Drosophila melanogaster: one gene and its partners. The protein of the gene in region 2 purifies or fractionates together with the protein of the main gene of each other region. This does not show direct contact. Each region holds a gene or a part of one and is shown on either strand. Other genes may lie near its edges. The genes, in order: ken, Trl and Bap55.

Evidence for each region.
Region 1: the proteins of Trl (region 2) and ken purify together in Drosophila melanogaster (affinity purification with western blotting, with the first as the bait; one study listed by BioGRID). This does not show direct contact.
Region 3: the proteins of Trl (region 2) and Bap55 purify together in Drosophila melanogaster (affinity purification with mass spectrometry; 2 studies listed by BioGRID, with this or other methods). This does not show direct contact.

Annotation. Positions count from the first base shown.
Region 1 is NT_033778.4:23,865,941-23,872,954, reverse strand, and holds the start of ken (ken and barbie), read right to left. Parts: upstream 2,683-7,014; 5' UTR 2,084-2,682; coding exon 2,075-2,083; intron 1-2,074. Other genes in the region: Mtpbeta (mitochondrial trifunctional protein beta subunit), read left to right, coding at 4,430-4,493, 4,743-4,902, 4,961-5,135, 5,192-6,202; CG5569 (uncharacterized protein), read right to left, coding at 6,375-6,515, 6,570-6,768. UniProt on the Drosophila melanogaster protein: Transcription factor required for terminalia development. Negative regulator of the JAK/STAT pathway: represses JAK/STAT-dependent expression of ventral veins lacking (vvl) in the posterior spiracles.
Region 2 is NT_037436.4:14,754,073-14,761,086, reverse strand, and holds the start of Trl (Trithorax-like), read left to right. Parts: upstream 1-3,124; 5' UTR 3,125-3,245; exon of another isoform or gene 3,246-3,603; intron 3,604-3,750; exon of another isoform or gene 3,751-3,756; 5' UTR 3,757-3,991; coding exon 3,992-4,183; intron 4,184-6,536; coding exon 6,537-7,002; intron 7,003-7,014. Other genes in the region: Tsen34 (tRNA splicing endonuclease subunit 34), read left to right, coding at 13-120, 183-508. UniProt on the Drosophila melanogaster protein: Transcriptional activator that functions by regulating chromatin structure. Overcomes the repressive effects of chromatin by promoting the open chromatin conformation in promoter gene regions, thereby allowing access to other transcription factors.
Region 3 is NT_033778.4:17,427,835-17,434,848, reverse strand, and holds Bap55 (brahma associated protein 55kD), read left to right. Parts: upstream 1-3,885; 5' UTR 3,886-4,008; coding exon 4,009-4,207; intron 4,208-4,286; coding exon 4,287-5,129; intron 5,130-5,188; coding exon 5,189-5,424; 3' UTR 5,425-5,496; downstream 5,497-7,014. Other genes in the region: EDTP (Egg-derived tyrosine phosphatase), read left to right, coding at 1-724, 791-1,429, 1,494-1,658, 1,719-2,075, 2,141-2,276; Lhr (lethal hybrid rescue), read right to left, coding at 2,685-3,689; Mtap (methylthioadenosine phosphorylase), read right to left, coding at 5,808-5,846, 5,906-6,685, 6,756-6,806.

The DNA of each region.
Region 1 (7,014 bases), on a different chromosome or scaffold from region 2:
GCTCATTCTAACGCTAGATAAATTCCAAAGCGGTATTGACGGAACATACATATGTATATATGCATGTATCTATGAGTGTGTGTGCTTGTATACTTAATGCTTCCACGAATCAGGGCCATTCACTTTCTACAAGTTTCTCGGCGGATTTCGCAATCGAATCTGAATTTGCTTACGAGCAGAGCATGACTAAAGATCGTTACAGCATTTAAGGCAATCAAAAGGTGAAAGTTCATGGTAATAATTCCTTAAATGGAAGACGCTAGGGATCCGTACGTATGTATGTGTTTGTGTATTTCCCAACATTTCTCCGCTCTCTTCGCGAGACTCACACATTCGCACGCACACTTTTGCAAACTGGAAATGAGAATGAAAGGGACAAGGCGGACATGGAGGAGGGTCGAGGGGAGGGCGATACGAAAACAAAACGCGCTAACTCACAATGCGCGCATAAAATCACCTTTCACAAAAAGCTTTTCTCCTCTCTATGCTGTGTATGTGTGTCTGTATGTCCAACGATCGGGGTATAAGCTAAACAACGAAACACACATAGCGACATACAGACGGAGAACGCAATCGTTTGTATATTTCCACACTTTCCGATTTTTGTCGTCGTCATCGTTCCCATGTAATGTAAATGTAGTTTTACAATTACTCTTTCCCCTGCGCATTGTGGTGTCGGTGTATGGGTTTGTTGGTGTGTGAGTGTGCAGATTGCGTGAGTGTTTACGAATGTAAAGCACATGTGTCTATTTCCAAGTGGAAGAGAATGGCAAGGGAACGGAAGCGGGAGCGGGGGGTGAAGAGGGAAGGGGGAACTGGAAATCGAAATGGAACTGGAATCGCACGGATCTTATCCGATCGAAGGCCTCAAAAGAGAAAGCTACGCGGGGTTTTGAAAGTATTATAAGCTCGCGCAAAGGTAAAATGTTAAAGGGAGCGGAGCGCGCGTTCAAACTCGTTTTCCTGCCCTCTCTGTCTCTGTCGCTCCATCGCATCGCATTCTCTTCCTTTCCCGCTCTCTCCCGCGCTGCCACTGCCCCTTTCCCCATTCCCCTTTCACGAAAGCTCTTTGACTTGCTGATCCGAAAAGAAGCGAGGGAAAATGGCAAAGAGTCGCCGTCGCCGTCGTTGTCTTCTTTCGTACTTGTTGTAAATGCTACACTCGTAAAAGTGACCCAAATTTGAATTGCATAACTCCATAAGCTGGGCGATACGGAGAAAGATAGGAAAGGGGCCCGTGAGGGGTTTGCAATGCGCTAGTTTCGTAGACGCCGTCAACGGATCTACGTTTTAAAATATGTATTTGCCAGATAAGGCGAACAGAACGGGGAAATCAAAGATCTCCTCACAATAGCCTTTCCAAGTTCCCCCACCCCCTCCCACGACCCGTTAAACTAAAATCCCCCTCACGCTGAGAAACCCACGCCCGTGGCTTTGCTAACAGCATATTTTGTAACATCTGCGCGATCGTGTAACCGCATGCATGTGTGTGTGTGATTGAGTGTCTGTGCTTTTTCACCTTCACTCTTATTGGAAAGCAGTTAAGTTGGTCGAGTGCGTGCGCCAATGTACGTACATATGTACGCAGATATGTGTCTTCAAATTCCATGACATGCATACGAGCGCACCAATACACGGACGGTATTACGCAGACAAAAGCACGCGATGAAGGTCACTAAGCCTTTCTTGTCTCCAGTTGTTGTTGTTCCTCTGGGTTCAGTTGTTGTTGCAGTGCTAATGATGTTCATGACGACGAAGATTGGATCGCCACGAACCGAAGCTTCGAGGCAAAGTTTTGGATACGATACCATACGATACGATGCGATGCGATCCAAACCGAGCTTGGAATGTTTTCAGTTTTCTGCTTTTCTGTTTTCTGTTTTCTCTACCACTATTAAGTTAGTTTCTGACCTTGGCTGCTTTGTGTGCTTAGGTGCACAAAGAGCCACAAGCCACACACACGTATCGCAGACCCAAAACCCCAACCCCGACTTTTATCTATCTCAGCGATGTTGCAATGCCCAAAGATGATGAAAATCTCGGGGAAAAGCTTGCTGCCGAACGGCAGACTTACCTCTTTCATTAAGTTGGATGTTCAGCAGTTGGTTAATCCCAGGATGAATATAGTCACTGCTATTCACTTGCGCACTTTCTGTTCTGATCGCCTAATCCCTGCGATCGGCCATTTACTGCTGGCTGCTTGCTTAGTGGAAACTTTCGATTTCATTGACCATGGTTTGTTTATATTTTCACAGGAGCAGATTTTAAAATTTCTCTTTGGCTTTTCCTGCTGCCTCTTCTGCTTTTTATGCGACGCAACGCAAGAAATATCCACCAACACACTGGTAACGCTCGCACAAGCACACACACACTCACTAAAGTTCACTACAACGGCACAACTACAACTACAACGTCAACATTAACTTTAACTAGGTTGAAGTTTTGTTTTTTCTTTTTGTTTTATTGCGAAATAAAAAACTTGATTGGTAAAACTTTTTCTGGCGCGAGCGCGACTGCGAGTGGGAGCGGTACGGAGAATCCGATCTCTTGCCTCTCTCTCGATTTTCGATTTCAGCTTCTGCTTTTGCTTTTGCCTTGCTTTGCTTCGCTCTGTTTGTGCTTACACTTTCAGTTTGCGCGCGCGCACGTCCGTTCACTCGGAGCCTTTTTTTTTGACTGTGCGGGATCGGGAAAGAAATTACGATCGCTGCGGCGCGCTGCTCGGTCGATGTATCGATACCGATATCGATAACAGAAAAGCATTCTCTAAGTCTCCTAAGCTACCTTGTAATTTATTATTTATGTTCCAATCATGATTTAGTTTAATATTAGCTAAAATGTAAAAAGACACAATCAATAAAAATACCATTTATATTATCGATAAAAACAGCAATAAGATCTGTATTGGCTTTTTAGATTTCCATTTGGCGTATCTTTCGTTATTTCACAAGATTAAGATTCACGTCCAACATGAAGAACTTAACTGTAACAAGCTTACGCTTTTGGGCTGACCTTATAGAGGCTCGCGATTTTGACGATTCAGACCCAACGTCGCGTAGACAAATGGCGCTGATGATCAAGAAGTTAGCGGAGAACATTTTAAAATCCGCGCCCACAGTACCAACACCACCATCCCCATCCAGCCCATCGCCGAACGAAAGCAATATTTGAGTGAAGCTCCATTGCCACTGACGTGTCCTGGTCCTGGTTCTGATGACTTCCTACTGGTGGCGTCACCTCCACAGCCCACCGACCAGCAACAACAACAATAACGGTTCCTTACAGTGATCCAGCGATCACGGAGATCATTTCACCTGTTAATATACTTTGTTCACCCACTGTAACTGTCTCTCGCGGAGGCGGAGCTTTGGACATTTCCCGACAAAATGTGAGCTTTCGATTATGTTCTACAACTGAAATAAAAAACTTGTTTAAACTTAAATAAAAAATATATAAATAAAAAGGGTAGAAAATCTCAATGCTCAATTTGCATCTGTACAAACGTAGACATTAATTTTACTGGCATGCTAAAGAAATTTCACCTTGATCCCCAATAAGCCGTCATCCTTCCATTATTTGCTTCCTTTGTAAGTCCTTTACGATCGCTCATTTGAAATGCACACGCCGCCTACATTTGCATCCTACCCTTTGCTATCCCATTATAGGAAACCATTAAATTCGTCCTTGAACCTAATTTGTGCCGTTAGCAATAAAAGCAATCAGTGAAACGAATTTGTATGCAAATCATTGAGAAACTAACAATGGTTCCAAAACGACCTGCATTTTATTCATAATCTATTTAAAGTTTAAATTTAGAAATTTGGATGTACATCTAATATGTAAGATTATACAGTACTGCAAGAGTGGCCTTTGGAAGTAATCCTTTCTTTCGCCCATTTGCATACAGCTAGTTGCCTGCTACAGTTATCACTTGCATTGCGGTTCAAGGACATGGTTAATGGTCTTCCATTGTGGGAAAGGGTATACAGACTGTAGGTGACGAATGAGAGCGCAGATGGACATCGTAAACAGCACGCTTAATAGGATAATCAAGATCAAGGTCATTGGAGAAATCTATTCCTTTATGGGACTCCCAGATTGCGTTGCATACATTTGAATGAAGGTGAATGGTGTAGGAATAGTAAACGATTCTCAGAAGCTAAAAAATTTAGAACTGTATATTCAAATATAACCAAGAAATATATCTAAAGTTGGAAATGAAGATCTACCGAATTTTACAAGCTGTCATGCTTTATGATCTACGAGTAAGATCCTCAGAAAGGGTATTTACAGTTCGAAAGCTTTTCATGCATCAGCTTTCGATAACCGATAGTTCGCCGCGATCCGGCGTTCATGTTCATCACTAGCCAAACAGCTGCAGTCGCAACAACGAGAAAAGCGAGAAAAGAAATCAGAAAACTTTCGCAAGATGAGCCTTCAAAATGTCTGCCGCAAGGGTAACGCCTTCAACCTGTTGAATGTCGCCAGGAAAGGTGAGTTAATAGTGCGGGTGTTGCAGTATGCCCCATTCCAAACACGGGCTGCACCAGTTGGACTTTGGCTCTGATAATTCATAACGATTTGTGGCAGCAGCAGCCGATTGAATCTGAAAGGGCCAAAGTCCAAACTCGAATTCGCAGTGACGTCTTGCGGGACAAAGATAATGTATGGGTACATCATGATTAAAAATAACGCGAAACGAGAGTGCTAAGGATAATCCCGAATCCGGAACCCTTTTTCAGTTCAATGCCGCGCTCTATCGGCCGCTGTGGCGAATCCACAACCGAAGCAGAAGAACAGCCAGAATATCGTGCTCGTGGATGGAGTCCGCACACCCTTTCTGACCTCCGGAACCACCTACTCCAAGCTGATGCCCCATGAACTGGCCAGGCACTCGCTTTTGTAGGTTTACAATCCCCAATATCCTTGGAGTATTAGCTTACCCCGCCCCATTCAACAGGTCATTGCTGCAAAAGAACCGCCTGGACAAGGAGCTCATCGACTACATCGTGTACGGCAGCGTCATCCAGGAGGTGAAGACCTCCAACATTGCCAGGGAGGCAGCCTTGGCAGCTGGATTCAGCAACAAGACACCTGCCCACACCGTCACCATGGCCTGCATCAGTTCCAATGCGGTAAGAGCCTCGCCCAAAGTTCCTCGGAGCTTGAATCTATAGCCCATGTATTACAGGCCATCACCACGGGCATGGGTCTGATAGCCACCAACACCTACGATGTCATCGTTGCCGGCGGCGTGGAGTTCATGTCCGATGTGCCCATTCGCCACTCCCGCAAGATGCGCTCCCTGCTCCTGAAAGCCAACAAGGCAAAGACCCTGGGCCAGCGGCTGGCCCTGCTGTCCACCTTCAGGCCAGACTTCCTGGCCCCCGAGCTGCCCGCCGTTGCGGAGTTCTCCTCCGGCGAGACCATGGGACACTCGGCCGATCGCTTGGCATCCGCCTTCAACGTATCCCGGAGCGAGCAGGACGAGTACGCCCTGCGATCCCACACACTGGCCAAGGAGGCCCAGGAGAAGGGCTACTTCACCGATCTGGTTCCCTTCAAGGTGTCCGGCGTGGACCAGATCGTGGACAAGGACAACGGCATCCGCGTGTCTAGTCCCGAGAGCCTGGCAAAGCTGAGGCCCGCCTTTGTGAAGCCCTACGGCACTGTGACAGCAGCCAACGCCTCCTTCCTCACGGACGGAGCTTCTGCTTGCATTATCATGACCGAGGAGAAGGCCAAGCAGCTGGGCCTCAAGCCCAAGGCCTATCTGCGCGACTTCCTGTTCGTGTCGCAGGATCCCGTCAACCAGCTGCTGCTGGGACCCGCCTACGGAATTCCCAAGCTGCTCAAGAAGGCTGGACTCACGCTGAAGGACATTGACTCGTGGGAGATCCACGAGGCGTTCGCCGGACAGATCGTGGCCAATCTGAAGGCCCTGGACTCCGACTGGTTCTGCAAGACTTACTTGGGCCTGAACGAGAAGGTCGGCACTCCCGACCTGTCCAAGTGGAACAACTGGGGCGGTTCTCTGTCCATCGGCCACCCCTTCGCCGCCACAGGAGTCCGCCTCTGCATGCACACCGCCAACCGCCTGGTGCGCGAGGATGGCAAGTTGGGCGTGGTCGCCGCCTGCGCGGCCGGTGGACAGGGCGTGGCTATGCTCATTGAGCGCTATCCGGGCGCCACAGCCGACTGAAATCGCCAATTAATCGACAAGGAGGAGAGTGCAGTTTAACTGCGAGATTGCTAGCTTTTATACACCTTACAACTACGTCTATACGAATAAAGAAATCTGAATTTTACAAAACAGTTTAATTTCTAACAGAGCACCAGCCTTTCAAACAATCATTAGATGTGTCTAACTAATCCTATTCGGTCTCGTAGAGCTCCTTCTTCCGCAGCTTCGCTTGCAGAATGTCGTTCTCGTTGTAGGACAGGTGCAGCGGGGGTATCAGGGCGCAGGCCACCATTCGGTTCTCGGCATTCAGGAAGTTGAAGGTGGCACATGCCTGCAAAGAGTGCCATTCAATATGGATATAGATCGGGGAGTGATTAATACCTACCTGCTCCGTGCGCAGGATCTCTACGTTTATCTTGTACTTCTTCATGAACTCGATGATCCTCTTGGAAAGAGCTGGGGGCGGTGCTTGGTCGCCAATGCCAATGATAAGCACGTCGATCTTTGGCTCCAGGGTGGGGAAGAGACTGAGGCTGTCCTCGTTGATGTCCTCAAAGCTGTTGACGTTCCAGGACAGAACCGATCTGTAAGTAGTAAAACATAAAATTAAACTTTAGCTTCAGATAGTAACTTATGACATATTAATACTTATAAACAATATCACTATTAAAAGCCATCGAAAGCTTATAACTTAAACAAATAGAGGCTATAAGGTAAGAAGTTATTGAAATAATTAAAATTTAAATTAGCATTCAAAAAGCCTTTAACAACTATTGGTAGTTTTTACATCAACATTTTTTTGTATGAAACTTTAAATGAAGAAGTCATTC
Region 2 (7,014 bases):
CTTCACTTTTAGCTGCCGCTCTGACTGATAAGGATGTACTATTGGAGATGTCTGTGAATTTCAAATTCGATCGCCAAAATGCCTTGCTGGAGGTGCATTGTGAACATCCCACGGATCACTGTAGATACATTAAAACCAATATCTCTCGATAAGTAATCTTAATTCAATTCTACAACCAACAGCTGCGCAAATAGTTACCGGTCCCATTGTGCACACCAATTCCCTGAAATACCGCGTTTTCAAAGATCTGTGGAGGCGCGGAAAGTACGTGACTTCCGGCGATGCATTTGGAGCGGACTTTCTGGTTTACCCCGGCGATCCCATGATCTACCACGCCTCCCACATTGTAATTTTGCACGAGCAACCTGTAATTAAGCCCCTGGAACTGATAGCAAAAGTTCGTCTATCGGTAATTGTCAACAAAAGCTGCGTTTTCGCCTACGAGATGGAAAATAATGAGGAAGAAATACATTACCAAACGGTCGCATGGTGCAATCTTGGAAAATGAGGAAATCACAGGCAAGTACATGGAGCAAAAAACATGAAATGTGACCATAAAATTCTGACAAAAATAGTCTATTATGTTATCCATTTAATTATTATTCTAAAGTTGGGTTCTAACGTTAGAAAGTCTAATGGGTAGAGATTAACACTTTAGTCACCAACTTTTATTTGTTCTGAACATCTGTGACGCATTGATACGATTTTGGGCTCAAGGGAGGACATCTAATTTCGACCAGTGTATTTTTTTTTTTGGCTCCAAAGAATCTTATTTTTTTAAGACTGAGCGGGAGAGAGTGGGCTTTCCGTGAGCACGGGTTTTGTTTTTGGCGCCGAATTGGGTTTATTTTTTAGTGGAAATTGAATACAATGCCGGAGAAACTACGCTCCCGCTCCGTCCCATTTCCCCACCGCTCCTCCCCTCTCTGGCGGCCTCTCCACGTTTCGCCGTCCCGCTCTGAGCGGCAGGAGCAGCGCCAGAAACGGTTTCTCCCACTCACAGTTGGAAATTGTACACAGTGCACATGGTAAATCGGTTTATTATGACCACGACATCCAACTCGAGATGTTTGCTCGCCACTCCGTTCAGGGTCCATTGTTGTGGTTTTTAGGCGGGAGTCATTCGTCGCTTCCCATTAAATTTTGTTAAATGAATTAGTTATACAAAATGAGGTTATAATTCGATGGCCCCCATCAAACGCCAGAGCACACATACATACATATGTATGTACATACATCTATAGGCAAGCGGCGATAGGCAAATAAGTCGCATACATTTGCGTATTTGTTTTCAACAAATTTGTGCTGAATTCTTCATGTTTTGCGTTCGTTTCAAGTATATTCAGTTTTTTTTAATAGAAACAACGTGATAAGGCGCGGTGGGGAAGGCCAGGCAAAAGTCGTGCCGCGCCGTTCGAATTTCAAACAGTCGAGCTGGCGCACGGTGGGACAAAAGCGTTGTTTAAAAGTTTTAATGTTTTAAAGTTTCATACATTTTAATAAAATACAAAAATTTAATTTGAAAATCTTTAACTAACGTACGGCCAAACGCACTATAAAAACTAGCCAATGGAAAAAATAGTCCAGTAACGCTTATACAATTTGTTTACAAAAACCAGTTATACAATGTATTCCAAAATTTTACATAGTAATTCTATTCCTACCACTTATGTTTTGTATCCCACTGTGCTTGGTTTGCACTCATTCCTCCACCTCTGCCGAGTCACCCACCACCAACACCCCCCAGCGCGCACGCTCTCCCTCATTCTCACATCATGCTCCGTTGGTTGGTATTGCCAGCTACGAAACATGAAACATGCTCACTGCTTTAACGCCGATTGGAACTTTAAAGGGGCATTTCGAACGGCATTTCTCATGGCCCCTTCCCTGCCCAGCAGCATCATAACAGAGAAAATTGTAATCTTAAAAATTTGGACACTCGCTCACTTTATATTACTTTCTTCTCTGAGCGTTGGCTAGAAGTGCCACTCTCCTTCTCCTTCAATTCCAAATTCGACTAACTTCCCTATCGCGGGGTCTCTCCGCTCTTAAGCTGGACTTGATCTGCATACGAGAATGAGACTGGCTATATGTTTTTACCCCGTAGGGTCTCGGTCTCTGAGATGTGTCAAAAGTAACAGGTGATTGGATTGGATTCGAAAGGAGAGAGGAGAGTTAGAGACAGGGGAAAGAGAATGTAGAGCGTAAGAGCGAACCGGCTTTTCTACCATTTGTTATTATTACTTTCACAGGATCTGTTAATATTTCGGAACCGAAGAGAAACCCAGTCCCGATACATGTCTATTTTAATCTAAACCTATCAGATTCTTTTGATTCCTGTGTAACCCTCAGTAGCATTACACTTGTTCCCAGAAAAATGGAATCTGGTATCTTAAAAAGAAAACTGAAAGTAATTTATTCTGAACCCAATACCCTTCTAGATTTTGGTGATCAAACATAATAAATTGTTAGATTAGGGACTCGTTCTACGAAAATCTGCTTATCGATTTAATCATAGCTAATGTTGGAATTTATTTTTAATACAATTGCTCGATACCTTAGCTAGAATAATTCAAAAACGTTCTGAATTGTTTATCCTTCATTTTTAAACTGTAAAATTTGAGCTTATTCAGAGTGGAGTAGTATAAGAAAATGTTGAATATTTTGATACCGGATCCGATAGTTATAGAACCGGAACCTACGGATCCCGTTGACCTTTTTCTTATCGCACTCTGATATTCCAACCGGTCGGACACATGTGTTTTTCATCCGTGAAGTCGGCCCAGAATATTTCCATCATTCAATATTTACCACCTTTTATAGTTTTGTTTACTATCTTGCCGACTTTTTTGTCTTGCCGTCTTGCTCTCCTCTCCATCCTAAAAATACTCTTCCTGCGCTCCATCTGGCAATGCCGCTCGACAACTGTACTTCAAAGAGCGTTGCCAGGCAGGTCACTTCTCTCATAGATACACAGATACAGGCGCGCACGCACACCAGCACGCAAAATAACCACCACCAGCAGTACAGAAATTACACATTTTCTCCCCGAGTAGAGAACTGAAAAACTGGCCGCGCTGGCAGCGCCGGAGCAGCGAAATTCGATCGAAACCATTTACTCAGTCTCAGTTCGAGTTATCCAACGTTGGCGAGCGGACAAACAAGCAGGAGAAAAAAGCGTACGGGCAAGAGAAAGAGAAGGCACAAAATCACCCACAGCCACTGAAATTTTCTTTTGCGCTCCGGTGAGAAGATAATTTCACAAACCAAAACCGAACCAACAAACAAAAAAAGTGCGCTCCGTGAGCGGGAAAACAATAACAAAATCAAGAGACATGCGATTATAAAACGAACAAAATAACTGAGTGACAAAAAAAAATTAAATGCGTGTCTCATGGCTTGACTGTACTGTGTATTAAAAAATGTGATTGTGTCGGCTGTCCGTCTGTCTGAGTTTGTGCGCGTGTGTGTGCTGTTGGCGTTTTTAAATGTGGCGCGCTATTTTTGTGTGATTTTTGTGGGCAGCAACGAATTTTGAAACATCAATTGTATACTAGTTGTCAGTCCCCTTGTGAAAAAGTCTTCTCCAACAACAAAATTCCTGTGAGCAGCCTACACACATGCGTTGTCTCGCTCTCGCGCGCTCTGGCCCCCAAAGAGTGCGAGAGCGGGAGAGTGAGACCGAGAAAGAGAGAGAGAGAGAGAGAGCTAATAACTAACGTCTGTACTCTTTTTCTTTTCCATTTTTCATTTCAGTTTCGAGAAAGCAGCGCGCCAAGCAGCAAGAAGAGGAAGAGCAAAGGGAGTTGGAAAAGCAGTGGCGTCGTGGAGGAGGAGTAGAAAGGGGATTTTTGCGAAAAATCCCAACTTGAAGAGAATTTTCCCCGTAACCGTTAAACATTAAATCGTCGTGTTGGAGACAAATAGCAGCGAATACGCTAGCAACGCTGGGGAGGAACAACAATTGTTGGATTTGGACGCGACCGCTTTGATGTCGCTGCCAATGAATTCGCTGTATTCGCTCACCTGGGGCGATTACGGCACCAGCCTCGTATCGGCAATCCAATTGTTGCGCTGCCATGGCGACCTCGTCGATTGCACGTTGGCCGCCGGCGGGCGGAGTTTTCCCGCCCACAAGATAGTCCTGTGCGCCGCCTCCCCCTTTCTGCTGGACTTGCTAAAGGTAAGTGCTCGGTTCGGAAACACTGCCTAAAACACCTTTCAATAAGAGAGCTTGTACATAACCTCAAACGTTTCGTACAGTTTGTAAACAGAGAAATCCAATCGCAGAAATAGGTTAATGTTTGGAGCGCAGAGAAACTGACACTCGCACGCAAATGCATACATATGTATAAATAACGCAGATTTACGCTCCGCTCCAAAAGTTGTCTAGAGATTTTTGTACAAGTTTTCCACTGTCAATTGAGTTGAATGAGTGGCTCCGCCCCCCGCATTCCCGCCGTCTATCTTGCTTATCAGCTTTTTCTTGTTGCAAAGTTCACCGGAGAACGAGAGAGTGAGACGTAGAGACAGAGCGCAGACAGAGAGGGAGAGAGCGAGAGAACCAGTTGGTTCGGTCGACAGAAAAGTGGTTTTGGGCCCGGTGGTGTAACAGAGAGGGGAGAGCCGAAAGCTGGTGCGCCAACTTTTAAATCGCATGTGTTAGAGCGAGCGCAAACGAGAGCGCCAAAAGCAGCGCGGCAACTGTTGTAGTTGTTGGATGGTTGGAGCTTTCGTCTTGCCTTTTGGTTCTTGCTGTTGTTGGGTGCACACGAGCGCGACCTCTTTCTTCACAGACAGAACTGTACAGTTGGCTCTGGCTAGGGGGAACTTGAAATATTGGGGGGAATATGGATACATATACAAAGATAATTAAAATTAAATTTGTATTGATTGGTTTGATTTCCTTAACCCATTTCCTAAGCTAAGTCTTTTGTATTTTGTATGTCACCATTTTAGATTGCTAGATTGATTGTCTAACAGCAAACTTCGCTCAATTAAAAGTTCCTGGACTTTAATAGACTTATCTACTTCAAATCTTTATTTAAACTTATAACATAGTGACCAAGTCCAGATTGTACCAAAGATAAGCAAGCCTGTCTGGTGCGCTTCCCTCGTATCGAATCCAACCCGTATTTCTATAAACTAAAGCATTTCATATTAGGAAGGCGCACTTTTAAATGGAGCTTGCAAGTTTTTTCATGAGCTGTATTGCGATACTGTACTTTTTAACAACTCATTTGCACTTTAACTTTGACGCTTTTCCGCCACTCTGTCGATTGTTCAAAGTGTGCGCTTAAGTATGAAAGTTGGACCGTCTTCAATGCGTGGCCCTATCGTAATGGAAATACTGACCAAAACAGAGCGCGGCCAGCGAAATGAAAACACCTGATGCGACGCCGACAGCGGCTACTCTGCGCTTCGCTCCCCCTTATTCTCAGCGCTCCTCATCTCTCCTCTCCTTTTCTGGGCCGTGAAAAAGTAAACAGAGCGAAATTTTTGAAAACGCCGCTCAGAGCCGTCGTGGGGAAATGTCAAAGAAAAAAAAAAAAAAACAAAAAGAACGGGACCAATGCGGCTGTGAACTCTGCAAGAGTCCGAAAAGTACAAGATGTACTGATCTCGTTACACTCACACACGCACGCAAAAACACATGGCGGTCGCTCTTTGTTGCTCTTGCTCCCTCTCCCTTGCTCCTACGGCAAATGGAATGCAACTCTGAAAAATCGATGAGCGAGACTTTGGTTGGAGGCAGAGTTCAAAGAGCGCAAATGGGAGTGCGGTGAGATGTGTCATTTCAAGAGATTGGCATTGGATGAAGGGAGGGTGTTGGTTGGTGAGTCCGTAAATGGAGAGGGGTTGTTTTCTGAGCAATGCTATATAATTAAATGTTTGGAGCGGGAGCGGGAGCGGGAGAGGACACAGAAGAAGAACAGCTAAGCGCTCTTTCTTTAAGCGCTGCTCTGTTTTCTTTTTCAGCATCTGAAATCTCAAAATCCTGCTGCAGAATGTGCAGAGCGCGCAAAAGTAAAAGCCGGTTGTCTTTTGTCTGTGTCACTGTGTGCGTGAGCGGAGGAGAGTGTGAGCGACGCGTCGCACCGCGAGTTTCCATTATTTCCATCTCCGTCCGACTGTTTTTGTTATTGTTTTTATTTGGATTGGCGGACGGACGAACGGGCCTCTCAATTCACGCCAAAAATGTGAGACGATTTCAAAACAAACACAACTCTCTACGATGAAGTTCGAGCCAAGAGAAATGTTGGATGAAGAGCCTACGAACTTTGCAAAGTGTCAAGAAGTTTTTCTTATAGAACATTTTTAGATTTCAATTAGAAAATTTCTATAACTTACTAGAAACCGGTTTTGGTTATCGTACATACCTTAAACAATAGAGAAATATTTATATATCATTTAAAATCAATTTATCTTGCCCTATTCTTAATAACTCCTTTTAATCTCATTAGTTTTACTTATATAAATACAAACTTATCAGCTCTAAATAAATTAGATTATATATGTCTTCTCGATATTTACAGAATACACCATGCAAGCATCCAGTGGTTATGTTGGCTGGCGTCAATGCGAACGATCTGGAGGCGCTGCTGGAGTTTGTGTACCGCGGAGAGGTGAGCGTGGATCACGCCCAGCTGCCGTCGCTACTGCAGGCTGCCCAGTGCCTGAACATCCAGGGACTGGCACCGCAGACGGTTACCAAGGACGACTACACCACGCACTCGATACAACTGCAGCACATGATTCCACAACATCACGACCAAGACCAACTGATTGCCACGATCGCCACGGCTCCACAGCAAACGGTTCATGCCCAGGTGGTGGAGGACATCCATCATCAGGGCCAGATTCTCCAGGCAACGACCCAGACCAACGCAGCAGGACAACAGCAGACCATTGTGACAACCGACGCGGCTAAACATGACCAGGCAGTGATTCAGGCTTTTCTTCCGGCACGCAAACGCAAACCACGCGTAAAGAAAATGTCACGTAAGTTAAAAA
Region 3 (7,014 bases), on a different chromosome or scaffold from region 2:
ACGGGCACATGGCCAAGACGCTGGTACCGGGAAATGGACTCTTCGGGCAAGTTGGTGGGGGAGTGGGAGGTGGAGGCTCCTCGGGAACAACCGCCACTGCCACGCCTCTGAACAGCAGTGCAGGAAGCACCGGAAGTGAGGGTGTGGGCATCCAAGCCTTTGTGACCTTTGCCAATCCCCTGCAGACGCAACAACAGCATCCGCTCCAGCAACAATATCCCTCGCAGCAGATGCATCCCCTCCACGCGCAATATCCCTCCCAGCAGCCACATCCACTCCAGCAGCAGCAGCAGCAGCCATCGCAACAGCAACCACAAAATACGATATACGAGGATCAGTATGATATCCAGCGAATGCGGGAATTGGTAACGATGGCCAAATATGCGAGATGCCGTCAAAGATTCGCCGTGCCTGTGATTATGTATCGCGGAAAGTACATATGCCGCTCTGCCACGCTATCCGTCATGCCAGAAACCTACGGCCGAAAAGTGGTGGACTATGCCTACGACTGCCTGAGTGGCGGCAATTACACCGCGCCAAACGGAGAAGAGAACGATGCTGACTCCACGGACGAGTCGCTGATCACCCACATGCACGACCAGGCGCAGTCGCAGTTCAGCTACGACGAAGTCATCAAGAGTGACATCCAGCTGCTGCATACGCTCAATGTCTCAACCATTGTGGACCTCATGGTCGAAAACCGCAAAATCAAATACTTCATGGCGTGAGTACACTTTAAGATACCGAGTACAAAACAAAAACTGACCACCTGTTTTTTTTGTTCTTTTAGCGTTTCCTCGTCAGAGAAAGCGGATCCCAACAAGCACTATAAGAGCTTTAACCTTCTATCCCTGCCGTATCCGGGCTGTGAGTTCTTCAAAAAGTTCCGGGACAATAATTACATGGCTCGCAACCTGCACTACAACTGGAAGCAAACGTTCAACGATGCGAATATCAACATTCCCAACATGGGACCCGCTGCGGATATCGATGTGGCGTGGTCGGAGTACCGGGATTGGGATCTGGTGGCAATCACCCAAAACTATTTGAGAGCTACACTGAAATACGTGCAAGAGGAAAACTCCGGCCTGCTGATTCACTGCATCAGCGGTTGGGATCGCACGCCACTGTTTGTCTCCTTGGTCAGGCTGTCTCTGTGGGCAGATGGACTCATCCATCAGTCGCTGAACGCCATGCAAATGGCCTATTTCACACTGGCCTACGACTGGTACCTGTTTGGCCATCAACTTCCCGATCGCCTGAAACGAGGCGAAGACATCATGTTCTTCTGCTTCCACGTGCTGAAGTTTATCACGGACGAGGAGTTCAGCATTGTGGAGCACCGCAAGCGCACCAAGACATCCAGCAGCAGCGGCAGTAGTGTAATAGTAATCAAATCCGATTGCTGCGACGATGAACCGCTCAAGGAGTGAGTATAGCCAAAGACACTAGAATTATAGCCAAGTATTGTAAATGAACAGTACCATTATCAGTCCATTTACTTTGAATTGCAGAGACTACATCCTTTCGTTCGATCAAGATAGCAACGACAGCTACTCAAACTGTTCCAACTGTGATATGTCCATAACAGATAACTTCTATGCCACGACGCCGGCGCAAGTCAATCCGTTGACCAGCAGGTCGCCAAATCCGAAGAGGTTGAACAGCTGAATACTAAAATTAGAAACCTGACTAACTGTGAACTCAACTTGTTTTAGATCTAGAACCAGCCCCATTTCAGTGCCCGGATCAAATGCGCGGCAAAGACAGGAGTCTACATCGTCCAATGGTAGCTGGCAGGTGGTTACCGACACGGGTTCAATTGACTCCATGATGAACGGCAGCTACATGATGCGCTTTGTGGCGCAACAGGCAGCCGATGGTGGCGGCTCCTCAAACATTCCTTTATGCAATGGCGGCAATGGTTACCACTGCAGCATCAATGCAGCATCGAGTGGCAGTGGGAGCGGAAGTGGTAGCAGTATCAGTAACGGCAGCTCGACGCACGGTTTCGCAAACGGTTCCTCCAAAGACGTAGGCGGCAGCACTATGGCCAGCAAGCAATGCATCAACTTGTAAGTTGTAGTCTGATTATTCGACAGCAAATACATAATGACATAATTTTGTTTTACAATTGGAGACGAAAGCAACGCCTGAATGCAGTGCGCGCCATTTTTATACAAGCCTACGGCAAGACGATTGGACTGAAATTCAAGGAGGGCTCATCCATGAACCTGGCCACGTTCATTGGGAACCTGGCGGACCAACTGTTTTGAGAAAGGATTAGCAGCTATGACCGTTTGTTAGATTTCATCAACATTGTTTGTTTCTTGTTAAGTGCTACGCTTTCAACCAACGACTGTATTTATAGACCTGTTAAATTGCGTTCTTTAGTATCTGTTGACGATTGTGTAGTGTAACGGATTACTGATTACCGATAAGCATCGAAAGAACCAGGCGATCGTAGGCAACGAGCAAACAAAATCCTGTCGTCCTTCTGCCCCGGCTAAACCGCTCTCCTGTTCTCTAGGTTCTCCCGCTCCTTGTTTGTTTAGTTATTAGTTCTTCGAGAATGCAAAGCAAGTGAAATATAAAATGCTATTTGGATTATACAATAGTTTTAAGTTGTAATTTATAGTAATGTATTTTTTAATAAACTTATGTGCATTTTATACGAAAGAAAGTCATGTTCTCAGCGTAGGCCGCCTTGAGCGCCGTATTCTAGCTAAGGGTAAATAATCATCAATTTCCACTCGCTTCAGCCGGATGCGACACCTTTTAATGTAGTATTTCGCGCTTTTAAGAGGAACGAAGCGTGGTGTTTCTATCGGTCGTTCGTCACATTTTGTTGTATCTTTAATTTTAGGTTCAATAGCTGTTTCTATTTTGATTTTGACATCATTTGATCCTTTGCAAGCATTATTATATCTGATTCTTTTATTGGCACTTGCGACATTGGGTCTTATTTTGTGTGGGCTAATGCCGAATCTGTCCATGGCCGGACTGAGTAAATTGTCTGCTGGGAGCTCTTTCACCCGTATCGCTTTAAGAAATTCGTCGTATTCGCTCTGAACCGTCTCCAGGTCCTTAGGACCCAGCTTTCGAGTAGCTTTCTCTTGGCGCTCTTGCTCCAGGATGAGGGCGAGGACCTCCACTTCTAAATGCCGGCGTTCCGCTTGCGCCATAGATTTCACGAAAGGCAACTGACTGAGAAGAAACTCCTGACACTTGGTTTTCGGCACATCCGCCGGATTCGGGGCTTGCATGCGAATGTGCACATCGTGCATCACCCGCCACAGAGGTTCAGGGATTTGCCCTTTGGAACCGGCCAAGGCTCTGACCAGCGGGCGCAGCTTCACCCAACGCAGCTTCAGTTCACTTACGGAGAACGGAGTACTCAGCTCAACGTGCTCGTAGCTTTGGTTAAAGGACTTGGCCAGCTGATCCCAACCCCAGGAGTCGTAGTCAACGTCCATTTTGGGCTCCACCTGCGGGATGATAAGGAAGGGATACCGGGCGAGCATCTCCATGAGCAGCAAGTCGTTTAAAACAATCTGGCCGCTGATGTTGGTGTTTGATATGTTAATCTCCAAATGGGGAACAGTGGAATGGATCACCGTTTCCTCGGCGCTGTCGGTACTCATTTTAATATTTTTCGCACTGTGTTTCTCCAACGTTCTACAACACATTTGTGTACTAATTCATCCGTATGTTTTAATATACCACTTAACGGTAATTTCTTTAATAAAATCTATGTTTTTAGAATCCGAGTTTTAATTTGTGTTTGCTAACTAATAGCGATGGAAATTGTTTGAGAACAGCAATCGATAGGTAAGCGACCAAAGCGATAGGTAGGAAAATATTTGGCTTAAACAATCGATAACTTATCAGACCATCTCCAGCGAGGAAGAAGCGTCGTGAAAAAAGCCGCAAAATATACACAGACGGAAGTATTTTCGCGAATTACTTGAACACAACGTGCGAAAAAAATAATCGGAACGCCCCAATATGAGTGGCGGCACCATGCTATATGGCGGCGACGAGATCGGCGCCCTGGTCTTCGATCCTGGACATCATTCCTTGCGAGTGGGCTACGCACAGGAGGATTCGCCCAAGGCGGAGATACCCTCGGTTGTGGGGATTGGAGCAGCTCCAGAGACCAATCTCGATCCGGAAACTAAAACAGACAACAATGCCACGCCAAATAGTTAGTTTCTACATCGCCTTTATTTAGTTTATGGCTTTTAAAAACCCGGAAAAACCGGCAATCCCTACCCCTACTCTAGATGCTGACCAGCGCAAGTTCTATGTGGACACCAACTACGTGACCGTTCCCCGTTCCAATATGGAGGTGCAGACCTATATGAAAGACGGCATGATTGACAACTGGGACCTGTTTGAGAAGGTTATTGATTATGCCTACGCCAATGTCATTCAGTCGGAGCCGGAATACCATCCCGTGCTCTTTTCCGAGGCATCGTGGAATGTCCGCAACAACCGCGAGAAGCTAACCGAGCTTATGTTCGAGAAGTACAATGTTCCAGCCTTCTTTCTGGTAAAGAACGCCGTTCTGGCTGCCTTCTCCAGCGGGCGGGCCACCGCTTTGGTTGTCGATAGTGGAGCCACCCACACCTCGGCCGTTCCCGTCCATGAGGGCTATGTCCTATCCCAGGCGGTGGTTAAGTCACCCCTGGGTGGAGACTTCCTTTCACGACAGTGCCGCCAGCATCTGGAGAAGCACGGCATTGATCTGTCGCCGGTATACAAGATTGCCTCCAAAGACGTTGTTAAGGAGCGCGACAACGGACGCTTCACGCTGCGCAAACTGCCAGAGAACCTAACTCAGTCGTGGCAAAACTACATGTTGCAGCTCATGATGCAAGACTTTCAGATGAATGTGCTGCAGGTCCTAGAAAATCCGTTCGACGAACGGGTTGCTGCTCAAATCCCGACGGTACACTATGAGTTTCCTAATGGTTATCATCAGGACTTTGGCTCTGAGCGGTTCAAGATAGCCGAGAGTCTCTTTGACAATGCAATGCTGGGAGCTGGCCAATTGGCGTCCACCAGTGTGGGCATGTGTGATGCGGATGTGCGGCTGTCACTTTTCGGCTCAGTTGTCGTTACTGGTATGAATTTTCCCTAGGTTTTAAAACTAATTACTTATACCTTAATATTTTGCTCTTAGGTGGCAATACCCTTCTGCAAGGCTTTCCGGAGCGCCTAAATCGCGATCTCCAGCTGCGTGCCCCCTCAAATACGCGCCTAAAAATGATTTCTGCCAATGGCAGCGTGGAGCGAAGATTTGGAGCCTGGATTGGCGGCTCTATTCTAGCCAGCATAGGTACTTTCCAACAGATGTGGATATCGTCGCAGGAGTACGAAGAGGCCGGCAAGAGCCAAGTCGAGCGGAAGTGTCCGTAAGGACAGCGCAATCGAATTCCAATTTTAATTTTAAAGACGCAACTCTATGTAATAATATAAATGTGAAATGTGAAAAGTGTCCCATTATTCAGAAGACATCTGAGCGTTTGTTTAGGAATAGATTGCATTTGATTACGGAAATGTTTTTAGTTACACACATATGTATATATTTACTGCGACGCTGACGCGGACGTTACAGTTTCACATTTCAATGGAGTTTTCACCGGCTGCCTTTTGTCTTTCGGATCTAATTCGTACGTAATGGATATGGAGTGAACTCTGGGTCCTCGCTTTTTGTGGAACTGTTGATAGAGCGGTGGCACATAAATCTTGCGGCGAATCAGCGTCTCTTCTGTTATTTCGTGGCAAAGTTTTATAAATCGTCACATGGCTCCAGACATTGTGTTGTTGCAAACGCATTGCTATGGGCGGAACACATGATGAACTTAGTTTTAAATGATGTTTATCTCGGCTCACTCACCTTGGCATTTAGTATGTCCTCCGACCAGTCCTCCTTGGCAATTCGACCAACAGCGTTGACCAGAATCTTCTTCACCTTAATTACGTTCTCGGCAAAAGTACGGAGGACATCCTGCACGTTGACACCCTCGCAACCCATGCGCCAGCAGTCGTAGTCCGTGGCAATGGCCACCGACCCGTAAAGTAGGCCAGCCTCCTTGGCTAGCACCACTTCTGGACACGTGGTCATGTTTATGAGGTCCCCGCCCCACTGACGGAACATGTGGCTCTCCGAGCGAGAGGAGAAGCGCGGACCCTCAATAGTCACAATGGTGGCCTTATCGTGGGCGGGAATCTCCAGCTCCTTGGCCGCCTGAAGCAGAATGTTGCGGGTGCGTTCGCTGAATGCCGGAAACATGGGCAGGTGGCAAACACCACGTGGACTTTGTGCCTTGCCATCGTAGAAGGTCTGAAGGCGTTTAGTAGTCCTGTCGATAAAGTCGTGTGGAACAACCAGGTTGCCCGGCTTGATTTCCTCGCGCAACGATCCACATGCCGTGGAGACAATTAAGTGGGTGCAGCCCACATCGCGTAGAGCCCAGATGTTGGCCCGGTAGTTAACATTGGAGGGCATGATGTCGTGCTTGCGTCCATGACGCGCCAGGAGTACGCACTGTACTCCATTGATCTCGCCTTCAATCAATGCATCAGACGGTTCTCCGTAGGGCGTCTCCACCACACGTTCCTGCCGCTGTTCCAGGATATCTGGGTCGTCAAGCCCCGAACCGCCAATAATACCAATCTGTGGGTTATTTATAGTTTGGCATTGAACAAAATGGGGTGCTTAATTTTTGGACGGACTACGAACTCACCTTGACCGGAAGCGGGTCCAGATTGGTGTCTTTACATTTAATCGTAATCATGGCTAGCGGAGGATTGTGCTTTTACAAGCTGCTGTTGCGGCAGTCTGGAGCAGAGTAGAATGTTCCCGCTGATAGCGTACTGATAACTGTGTGTCTACACGGTAGGGTGCATAAGCCGCAAAAGCTCGGGCATATTGAAATGACACTCAGCACGTCGTCGTGGGTGTGTAATTATGGTAATTGAATTATGTTTGCAAAATTTTGATTT